Saccharomyces cerevisiae S288C: one gene and its partners. Changing the gene in region 2 together with the main gene of any one other region gives a genetic interaction. Each region holds a gene or a part of one and is shown on either strand. Other genes may lie near its edges.

Region 1 (3,758 bases), on a different chromosome or scaffold from region 2:
TTTTTCATGCCCCTCCTTTTTCTTTTCTTTTCTTGACTCGTCGTTTCTTTTTCTTTTTTTTTTTTTTTTTTTTCTTCAGAACTATAACACATAGATACACTCGAACATCTAATTGTTTAAATACTGCAAAGAATACAAGGTAATCGACTCTTCTACATACCCTTTTTGCAGATTTGAAATAAAAAAAACATTATATGTTTAGCTTATCGAACTCTCAATACACCTGCCAAGACTACATATCTGACCACATCTGGAAAACTAGCTCCCACTAATTTCATTGCTTAATAATCAGAAATTCTATCACAAACCACTCCTAAAAATATTTCAAATGTCCTCCGCTGCAACAAAAGCTACTTTCTGTATCCAAAATGGTCCTTCCTTTGAAGGTATATCTTTTGGTGCAAACAAATCTGTTGCTGGTGAAACAGTTTTCACTACTTCTCTGGTTGGTTACCCAGAGTCCATGACTGATCCTTCCTACCGTGGTCAGATATTAGTCTTCACGCAACCCTTGATTGGTAACTACGGTGTCCCATCCGGCGAAGCCCGCGATGAATACAATTTACTGAAGTATTTTGAATCTCCGCATATACATGTGGTCGGCATCGTTGTCGCTGAATATGCTTATCAATATTCGCATTGGACCGCTGTTGAATCTCTGGCACAATGGTGTCAGAGAGAAGGTGTTGCTGCTATTACTGGCGTAGACACCCGTGAACTAGTGCAATACTTGAGGGAACAAGGTTCTTCTTTGGGCCGTATTACGTTGGCTGATCATGACCCTGTCCCCTACGTGAATCCCATGAAAACTAACTTGGTTGCTCAAGTCACCACAAAAAAGCCTTTCCACGTCTCTGCCTTACCTGGGAAGGCTAAGGCAAATGTGGCTCTTATTGACTGTGGTGTTAAAGAAAACATTATCAGATGCCTAGTCAAAAGAGGTGCCAATGTAACTGTTTTCCCCTATGATTACAGAATTCAAGATGTTGCTTCTGAATTCGACGGTATTTTCTTATCCAATGGACCAGGCAACCCAGAACTATGCCAAGCTACAATTTCCAACGTCAGGGAATTACTAAATAACCCTGTTTATGACTGTATCCCTATTTTTGGGATTTGTCTAGGCCATCAACTCTTGGCTCTGGCCTCCGGTGCCTCTACTCACAAATTGAAATATGGTAATAGGGCTCACAACATCCCTGCCATGGATTTGACTACCGGCCAGTGCCACATTACATCTCAAAATCATGGCTATGCAGTTGATCCTGAGACCCTACCAAAGGACCAATGGAAACCTTATTTTGTTAATTTAAACGACAAATCAAACGAAGGCATGATACACCTTCAAAGACCCATATTTTCTACCCAATTTCACCCAGAGGCAAAAGGTGGTCCCTTAGACACAGCTATTCTTTTTGACAAATTCTTCGATAATATAGAAAAATACCAATTACAATCTCAGGCAAAAAGTTCAATCTCACTAAAAGTAACATACAGTACCGATAAATCGAGATTGCAGAGTATAAATGTTACTAAGTTGGCCAAGGAAAGAGTGTTGTTCTAAAAACAAAATTTATACATTACGTAACACATACGTACATCTAAATACGATTCAATTCAGTTCATGGTATTTTGCGCTACTCGTCGTTGCTTAGTATCTACTCGCAGTTGTCATAATTAACGGGCGCTTCTTGTAATTAAATGAACAAAAAAACGTAACGTACGTACAATGGCTCTAATTTCATCCTGCCATCCTAAAAAAAAAATCAAATAAAGCAGACTCAAAAATTTTCAGCTTCAGTTAAATTTTGATAAGTATATTTGCATAACTCAAGGAGTTTGTGCAAACGGTTTTCTTTCTTTGTGGTTTGTTTTATTTACTTTCCAATAATACCCGTCTTGTTGGTTTAAGTCGTAACAAAAGGAAAACTTACAATCAGATCATGACGACCCAGCAAGAGGAGCAACGAAGTGATACCAAGAATAGCAAAAGCGAGTCACCTTCAGAAGTTTTAGTCGATACTCTCGACTCAAAGTCAAATGGCAGTAGTGATGATGATAATATCGGACAAAGTGAAGAGCTATCAGATAAAGAAATATATACAGTAGAAGATAGACCACCAGAATATTGGGCTCAAAGAAAGAAAAAATTCGTACTTGATGTAGATCCAAAATACGCCAAGCAAAAGGACAAGTCCGATACGTACAAAAGATTCAAATATTTATTAGGCGTCACAGACCTTTTCCGTCATTTTATTGGAATTAAGGCAAAACATGATAAAAATATTCAAAAACTCTTAAAACAGTTAGATTCTGATGCAAACAAACTTTCCAAATCACACAGCACCGTCAGTTCGTCATCACGTCACCATAGAAAAACAGAAAAGGAGGAAGATGCTGAATTAATGGCTGATGAGGAAGAAGAGATTGTAGATACATATCAGGAAGACATATTCGTCTCAGAATCTCCCTCCTTCGTCAAGTCAGGAAAATTAAGAGACTATCAAGTTCAAGGCTTAAACTGGTTAATATCGTTGCACGAAAACAAACTATCTGGTATCTTGGCCGATGAAATGGGGCTGGGTAAAACCTTACAAACAATTTCATTCCTAGGTTATTTGAGATACGTCAAACAAATCGAGGGACCCTTTCTAATAATAGTACCGAAGTCAACACTAGATAATTGGAGACGAGAGTTTCTTAAATGGACTCCAAACGTCAATGTCCTTGTGTTACATGGTGATAAAGACACAAGAGCTGATATAGTACGGAATATAATATTAGAAGCTAGATTTGATGTATTGATTACATCTTATGAAATGGTCATTAGAGAAAAGAATGCTTTGAAAAGATTAGCTTGGCAATATATTGTTATTGATGAGGCTCACAGGATCAAAAATGAACAAAGCGCGTTATCTCAAATAATTAGATTATTTTACTCTAAGAATAGATTATTGATTACGGGCACGCCTCTACAAAACAATCTACACGAATTATGGGCCCTGCTAAATTTCTTATTACCTGATATATTTGGAGATTCTGAACTTTTTGATGAATGGTTCGAACAAAACAATTCGGAACAAGATCAAGAAATTGTAATCCAACAGCTACACTCAGTACTAAACCCCTTTTTACTGAGAAGAGTCAAAGCGGATGTCGAAAAATCTTTGCTACCTAAAATCGAAACGAATGTTTACGTGGGGATGACAGACATGCAAATACAATGGTATAAATCATTATTAGAGAAGGATATAGACGCTGTTAACGGTGCTGTTGGAAAAAGAGAAGGCAAAACGAGGTTACTGAATATTGTTATGCAATTAAGGAAATGCTGTAATCATCCATATCTTTTTGAAGGCGCAGAACCTGGACCTCCATACACTACCGATGAACATTTGATTTTCAATTCCGGGAAAATGATTATATTAGATAAGTTACTGAAAAGACTGAAGGAAAAGGGATCTAGAGTATTGATTTTCAGTCAAATGTCGAGACTATTGGATATCTTAGAAGATTATTGCTATTTTAGAGATTTTGAATATTGCAGAATCGACGGTTCTACTAGCCATGAAGAACGTATAGAAGCTATCGATGAGTATAATAAACCTAATTCTGAAAAGTTCGTTTTTTTGCTAACAACACGTGCCGGTGGTTTAGGTATTAACCTTGTCACAGCCGACACTGTTATTCTTTTTGATTCTGATTGGAACCCTCAAGCTGATCTACAAGCAATGGATAGAGCGCATAGAATTGGTCAA
Region 2 (3,758 bases):
ATATACGGATGAAAAGAAAAATTGGGGAGAAAAGTACATTACGTTGACACCCCAATCATTAGTTGAACCCTAATATGCTTTTCGACCAGTTTTTAACGTTATGTAGGTACCTCTTGTAAGCAGGCTCCTTAACAGTGCCGAACAACCATTGCGTATTCTGCTTGGCCAAGTTGATTAAGTCGTCCTTCGTAGAAGTCTGTTTAACCGGAACACCGAATGATTTTAGGTACTGCAATAGGTCTTCTTGAGACCAGCTCTGAAAGGTATTTGACCAGGTCTTAGCGATTTGGTCCTTAGCATCATTTGTGTTTTTGGAAACCTTGTCAAAATCCTGCATAATTGTGGAGTAAGTCTGAGAATCTTGGAAGTCGTCCTTTTTGTCAGCAAACCAACCCTTTATGTCATCCAAAGACCAGTTACTGTTGTCAAAGTATTTTTGGTAGTCTTTTGGCAGGATCTTGAGTTTTTCGTTTCTGGATTTTTTGACTAATTCTCTCAATTGATGTTCAGTAGACAGCATTGAGTACTTAATACCACGAGCATCTAAAAACATTTTCAATTTGTCCTTTGGCCAAGAGTCTAGGCCAACCAAAAAAGTATCATTGATCACATTGTCAGTCTTACCTCTGAACTTGGAGTACAAATTTGTGAGGAAATTTTTAGAAGAGTCCCAAACGGAACCAACGTATTCTGGGGTCTTGGTCAAAAATGGAGAAGACTCTCTTTTCATATAGTCCAGGTACCAGTAGATATCATCTTTCAAATTGGCAGAATTTTCTTTGGCCATTCTAACCAAATAGTCGTGTTTCTTGGCCATGTTCTTGTCAATATTGACCTTGTGGCTCTCCAACCAATTGGTTAACTGATCACTAGACCACTTGTCAAATACAGTGTCTTTTATTTGTCCCGATGTGTCTAATATTTGTTGGTGAGCCAAATCCAAGCTTTCTAGCAAACCCAGACGCTGCTGTTCTGCCTTTTCTGAAGTTCGGTAGATGTTTTCCTTGACTTTCTGAACTAGCTCGTCCTTGCTTTGAACTGCCTTGTCGTAGTCGATACCATTGTCATTCAACCAGTTTTGCAAATCTTTGGTTGACCAGCTATCAAAGTAAGAGCTAGAAGGATAGTATCCCGACGACTTCAAAGATTTGGAAATCTTGTTGAAGTTCTCCTTAGCAGTCTTCACCAGCGAGTCCTTGGAAGCCTTAGCGTCGTCAACATCCACGCCGTTTTTCTTCAAGAAGTTACGTAGACTGTCTGTGGACCAGGTGTCAAAGAGCCAGTCAGAAACTGGGTGATCCGAAGAACCAGTATAACCAAACCATCCGGGGTTACTGTTGCTCACGCTACTGCTGTCACTAGACCACACCTGCCACCATGGTTTGGGCTGCGCGTGTTTGTCCCATACCTGCGATGCCTCCGTTTTCAAGTCCTCAATGGAGTCTGTAGCGTACTTTTCCAAGCTCTTCTTATTATCACGTAAATAATCGGCCAGGTCTTCCTGCGTCCACTTGTCGAACACTGAATCTGAATTGGCCAACACTAAGCCAATAAGCACAAATGATGCGGAAACCGCATTAACCAACTTGAATTGCTTCATCTTCTTCTCTTAATTAACAGTTCTTTTGTAGTTGTCTCCTCTTCTATTGCAGATCCTCTTCTAAACTCCGGTAATCTAATCATGCTAGGAATACGACTCCATGAGTGGCTTTAAATACCCTGTCGATCCCCTTTCACCGCCTCCTTGTTTCCTCCCTCTCCCTTATTTTCCTTCAGTTCCAAAGATCCCTTATTCTTCCCCTCTAAGGTGAGGCCGGCGTAATGCTGTTGCTTACCGACGTAATGGTGGAAAAGGTGAAAAAAGTGAAAATAGTGATATTCTTAGAGAAAAACGAAAACAACAAGTCGTGTCAAGAGGTAGTGTTTTGGGAAAGACGTCATAGAGAAAGGCAGAAAGCTTGTAAAGAAGTGGAAATAAAGATTGAAGATGAACTCGTTAGCTTCAAACACACCGCTAAATGGTACTCCAGTAAGCGAGGCACCCGCCACAAGCTCCGAGCCTGTGAACATGTTCGAGACAATGGTGGCTAACCCTATTAAAGTGTCTCGATTACAGTCTAATGGAGTTCTGACGGGACCTGCAGCCAATACTAAGTCCATCCACTATTCGCTGGCCAATTTTAATGTGTTCCAGTCGCTACCCAAGGAAACGGCCAGAGGTGTAGACGATTTGACGAGGATGGAGATGGCGTTACTGAGTGGGATACCGGAGGAGATTAAGTGGTCTTTAAAAAAATATCTTACGTATAGTAACAAGGCGCCATATATGATCAGCTTACGGACATTGCCGGACCTGTTGCCACTTTTCAAGACTTTCATATTGCCTTTGGAGCGCATCGTGGAAGGTCTTAACAAATCGTCTATATGTGATTCAAAGGCGATGGATTCTCTACAAATGGGTCTAAATGCCTTGCTGATCCTAAGGAATCTGGCTCAAGATACTGATTCGGTGCAGATACTAGTCAAGGATCGAGAAATCAAATCTTTCATTCTTTTCATTTTGAAGAAGTTTCAGTGCGTCGCTACAGGCGATAACAAGTGGCAATTGTACGAAGGAAATGCAACTTTTTTTAACGAGTTGACCCATTATACTCTGGACTTGATGGAGGCCATTTCGTCCTATATTGCTCCTGCAATGAAGGATGATCATTATTTCCAAACGCTGGTGTCCATCTTGAACTACACTAAGGACAGATACATGGTTATTTCTATATTGAGGTCTCTTTCAAGATTACTGGTTAGGTCCAAAGCTAACGAGGAAAGTGCAGCGGACAATTTGGACCATAAGACTCTTTCGTTGATCGTTTCCTTTTTACTGTTAGAATGCGATAGTGAGCTGATTATTGCTTCGTTGGATTTCCTCTATCAATACATTTTGCCCGGTTCTCAAAGAATCACTGAGTTATTCAAGAGTAAGGAGTGCTCTTTGATACTGGAAGCCACGCTGCCTAATTTATTATCATATAATATCGCCACACCAGATTACCATCTTTTGCAAAAGCACAAAATTAGGTTGATTAAAAGGTTGAAGCCTCCCGCTCCAAAGGAGCCTCCCAATTTATCTGAGGATCTGTTTCAACAACTTTTCAAACTTAACGAGCCCTTGAGGTCAACCGCTTGGTTGAGATGTTGCTTTGAGCCTGTACAAGAAGCAGAATTTACACAAATATCGCTTTGGAGATCCTACGAATCCAAATTTGGTCAGCCTGTTCGCGAATCCGGACGCAAATTGTTACCTGCCGTGGAATTCATCAAGAATGTCTCGAATGCTTTCAATAACGCCGCTGCTATCGTAATCACTGACCCGGTAACCGGCAAGAAAAGGTTTGTTATCAAGGGCATTCAACCAAGATTTAAAGCTTTGGGTATTGCAGACGGGGAAAGAGAATCCCAGGTACCCATTTCGGCACTAAAATCCAAATTTTTGAATGACTCTAAGGAAATTACACCTGCAAGACAAAACAGCATACCAGAGGTCAAATTCCCTCAAGAACTCTCAGATGTTTCTAAAGTGGCCTGTACGTTTTTGTGCCTTTTATCCAACGACACGGATGATGGTGCTGGTTCCGCATTTTGTCAACGCATCAGGCCACTGGTTCTACATAAATTGGCTGATATTCCACCTTTAACATTAGCATTGTCTGAATACATGGAAAACACGTCGGGGTTATGAATGAGAAAAAAAATCGGTTGGGCTT
Region 3 (3,758 bases), on a different chromosome or scaffold from region 2:
GAAGCAACTTTGTAATGGCTATCTGAATCAATTTCCGACCTTCTTCTAAACGGTCAGTTTCATCAAGACCGCTGTCATAAGTATCTTCTTCGTCATCGCCTTCATTTTCATCCTCTTCCTCTGGCTCATCTTCATCCCCATCTAATATATCATCATCGCGGTGAAAGTGCTTATGAGGATCATGCGGTAATTCTATATCGGAAATATACTCTTCTTCACTCAGTTCATCTTCGCTGTGGGTACTGGTACTATGGTAGTGATGGTGAGGGTGGTTCTGTCGTTTATGATCGTGGTCATAACTTAAATGTAATGTTTCACGTATCCCGTTGCTTTTTTCATCATGCTCTGGTTTTTCGACTGCCTCTATTCCTTCATACTCAGAAACCTCTTCGCTATCTTCAGCATATTCTGAATAGTCATCATAGTCTTCCTCATCTTCATCTTCATATATAGAATCAGTATCTAACGAAGTATCCTTCGATTGAGATGAAAAGCACGAGCTTAAAGTGGCTGCTAGAACGGATGGACCTAATTCCCCATCAAATTTATTTTTAAAGGATTGAATTATCAACTCTCTGAAAGATTTTTTGTCTCTCCCCGACATGAATCGTGTAAATAGCTCCTTCTCTAATTGTGACACATCTTTGAATTTCTTACTTGCGGTATCGTACGCATTAGTCATCCTTTCAGCAATGTTGCGCTGGAGGTCGGCATACTCATCTTCTGTAAGTGGTTTTCCACTATGCAGCATTGTGGTAAACTCCTTTGGATCAGTCAAATCTGTACTAGATGCTTCATCTTCAGTGATGCTGTCGTCTTTTTTCGATGCTTGTATCTGGCCATCTCGCACAAAGTCTTCGATTGCATTAAGAAATCCTTGCCCGTTACTATTCATTAAGTCATCAGTCAGTGCTCTAATATTCGGATACATCATCATTTTTTGTACATACTCCTCTGCTATTTTGGGATGTGATGAAATAAACGTTTTTGTGAAGTTGGAATATTTTTGTTGCAACTCTTCATCGCTCACAGAATTGAAATTTGCGGAAATTTCACTAGAAGTTTTGTTGATGTGTATATTGTTCAAATTTTCTTCAAGTAATGAGGTATTATCCGCCGTTTCATTATGCGCTTGTTCTTGTTTTGAAAGTTGCTTTTGTTTGAAATGCAGCACTTCCTCTTTCAAAGAGCCAACTGTACTTGACGAAAGGAAATTTTTTACAACTTCGCCCTTTGTAGAAGATAAATCATTTTGCTGTTGATTTTTGGAAATCTGTAGCTCCTTTATTATGCCTAAGTGGAATTTGATAGGATTGGTTTCAGGGTCTTTATCCTTATCCATGGCATAAAGTGTATTGTATATACGCTCCATTTCTTGATCCATTGCTAAATGGCGGCGTCCACAAACAGAGCAACTACAACTATGATCGTCCTGGTAATTCCTTATGACATTAAATACTTCCTCCTTTTCGATTCGTAGAATAGTTTTCTTTTCTTCTGGCGATAATGATTCCCAGTGAGAATCTAGAGTAAAAGCTAAGGAAGAAGCAGAATCCATACTATCCTTATTATGAGTCAAGTTCGCCGTACGTTCTTTCTTATCATCGTCTGTATTTATTGGTTCCACGATGACATCGCCATTGGGCGCTCTTTTTATTACTCTTGAAGTTGGGTAATCCGATTCTGTATGATACAACTCTGGCTCCATTCGAGGTACTAGCTGTGTAGGATTTATACTTTGTTCAGGATCAGAGTTGCCATTTTTCTTGTTGTGTTGCTTGGATTTGTTCTTTCTTCTCTTACTCTTGGAGTTTGGGGGCATCTTTGGCAATTTCCCCAATTTTTCACTTATAAAGATTGCTTATTGTTGAAAGTAATGGCCTTAAGCGATAAATGCACCTGGAAACTGAAACGATAAAGGAGCTTATAAAGTGAATCAATTATGACAAATCACTCTTCTTCTAGCTTTGATATATAGTTCAAATTGAGGGCTTTATGTATTACTGGATCTAGGCTGATAACCAGTACTGTCAATATGGTAAACAGAACATAGCGAGAGGGAGCAAAAAGAATTTTCCGCGCGGGTAACATTCTGAGTTCTCTAAAACGGCTGTGTCAGCAACTTCTATATAGTGCAATTAGATTATTGTGTAAGCTTATGATTCATTGGTGGGGTTCGACTTCAGGATCCAATAGTGGCACATGTATCCAGGCATGGCGCAACTTTCTGGACCCGCGTAGCGGCCATACCCACAAAGTATTCCTGACTCTCTCCGTATTAATTCAAAGTCCAGATGATTTGTGGCAATGCTTATGATATCATCGCTAGAAAGCTCTAAACCCATCAGTGGTGTATAGTCATTGATTTTATCTTGAAACCCAGAGTAAGGGTTAACTTCGTAGGTAGTTTCAACCCCATGGTCATTTTCAAAATGATAAAGCAATGGGCCGAAATTGCACCAGATTCCGCCTGGCTTCAAGACGTGGCCAATAGTATCCAAATAATCCAAGATGTTGGATCCCGTATCTATAAAAAAGTTTGTTACTACAACGTCTTTGGAGTTTTCAGCTTTTGCTCTACTTAGTTGCATCCTTCGCGAAAATGTATAATGTGACGAGATTTTTGTGCCTTGATTACGACCATAACAATCAACAAACGAGCCAGCACATATCGACATGGACCCCATACCTTTATTTGAAGACCACGCTTCTATGTCCGGCACCTTAATGGGAGACAACTGATCTTCAATTTTTTTCCAGTGGGAGAAACAGTGTATGAAGGGATAGATAATAATTTGGTTTTGGAGTAATCCTGCATTCAACATGTATTGAGATACAAGCAGCATGTGATATGAAAATTCGTTACCTTCACAATTATAGCCCATTCTGCTAAGATCCACGAGAAGGCGTCCTGTGCCGCAACCCGGTATCAAAATGTCGGCTTTTGGGGGTGATAGGGTCTTCAAAAACGGTACAAGCCTCGAATTTAAGCAATTACGTTCAGAAATGGCCTCTGCGGACCACTCCCTATAAACTTGCGTAAGTAAAGAGCATGTTTTACTCATATCTAAATCGTTTGGTTGTACGATTTCTCCTGGCTCAAAACTTATTGATTGCAGGGCATATTCGGCGACACTTCTAAAGAACTTGCCATTTTCTATAATTGCGGCTTTCAGATTAGCTAAATATTTTGTATAGTTTGGTACCATGTCTTTTTGACGATCTGAGATCGATGCCCATTTTTTCACTCTCAAATTGTAGATTTCCTTTAGGGCATACTCTTCATACTTAAGAAATGATATGATCACTCGAGCTACAGCTTTATTCTCCCTTTGATTATCAAATTCATTCTCGTCCATAGTCAAAATTACTGATATGTGTTCACCTCTAATTAATTTTCAGATCCTCACCAATTTTTGCCGCTGGTACACCAAAATAACAGTAGCTGATTTTGTATAAATTACAAACTATAGTACGTAAAGGCCTTGTGATTCTCGATCTGGCGATGAAAATTCCCGCCCCTAAAAAAAGTGTATTTCTTGCGGCTAATGGAAGTGAAACAAAAAAGTGCTTGTTTTGCAAAAGTAATTGAAAATTTCCAGTACTATTCTTCCAGCTGTTGTTACGAACTGTTCTTTTCAATGGCAAGCTTCGCTAAGACGCTGAATATGCCGCGTTTGCTGTTGTTTTGCTTGCAGTTTAGCAGTTACAACCCCCAGTCTCCCTAGTACTTTCTACAGTCGTTGATTCGAGATCGA

Evidence for each region.
Region 1: mutations in MSC1 (region 2) and ISW2 together harm fitness less than expected from each alone (positive genetic interaction), as found in Saccharomyces cerevisiae (2 studies listed by BioGRID).
Region 3: mutations in MSC1 (region 2) and NST1 together harm fitness less than expected from each alone (positive genetic interaction), as found in Saccharomyces cerevisiae (2 studies listed by BioGRID).

Annotation. Positions count from the first base shown.
Region 1 is NC_001147.6:882,571-886,328, forward strand, and holds the start of ISW2 (DNA translocase), read left to right. Parts: upstream 1-1,943; coding exon 1,944-3,758. Other genes in the region: YOR302W (uncharacterized protein), read left to right, coding at 195-272; carbamoyl-phosphate synthase (glutamine-hydrolyzing) CPA1, read left to right, coding at 329-1,564. UniProt on the Saccharomyces cerevisiae protein: Catalytic component of the ISW2 complex, which acts in remodeling the chromatin by catalyzing an ATP-dependent alteration in the structure of nucleosomal DNA.
Region 2 is NC_001145.3:15,077-18,834, forward strand, and holds MSC1 (double-strand break repair enhancer MSC1), read right to left. Parts: upstream 1,601-3,758; coding exon 59-1,600; downstream 1-58. Other genes in the region: RSC9 (Rsc9p), read left to right, coding at 1,988-3,733.
Region 3 is NC_001146.8:450,472-454,229, reverse strand, and holds the start of NST1 (Nst1p), read right to left. Parts: upstream 1,823-3,758; coding exon 1-1,822. Other genes in the region: YNL092W (S-adenosylmethionine-dependent methyltransferase), read right to left, coding at 2,157-3,359; Rab family GTPase YPT53, read right to left, coding at 3,700-3,758. UniProt on the Saccharomyces cerevisiae protein: With MSL1, acts as a negative regulator of salt tolerance.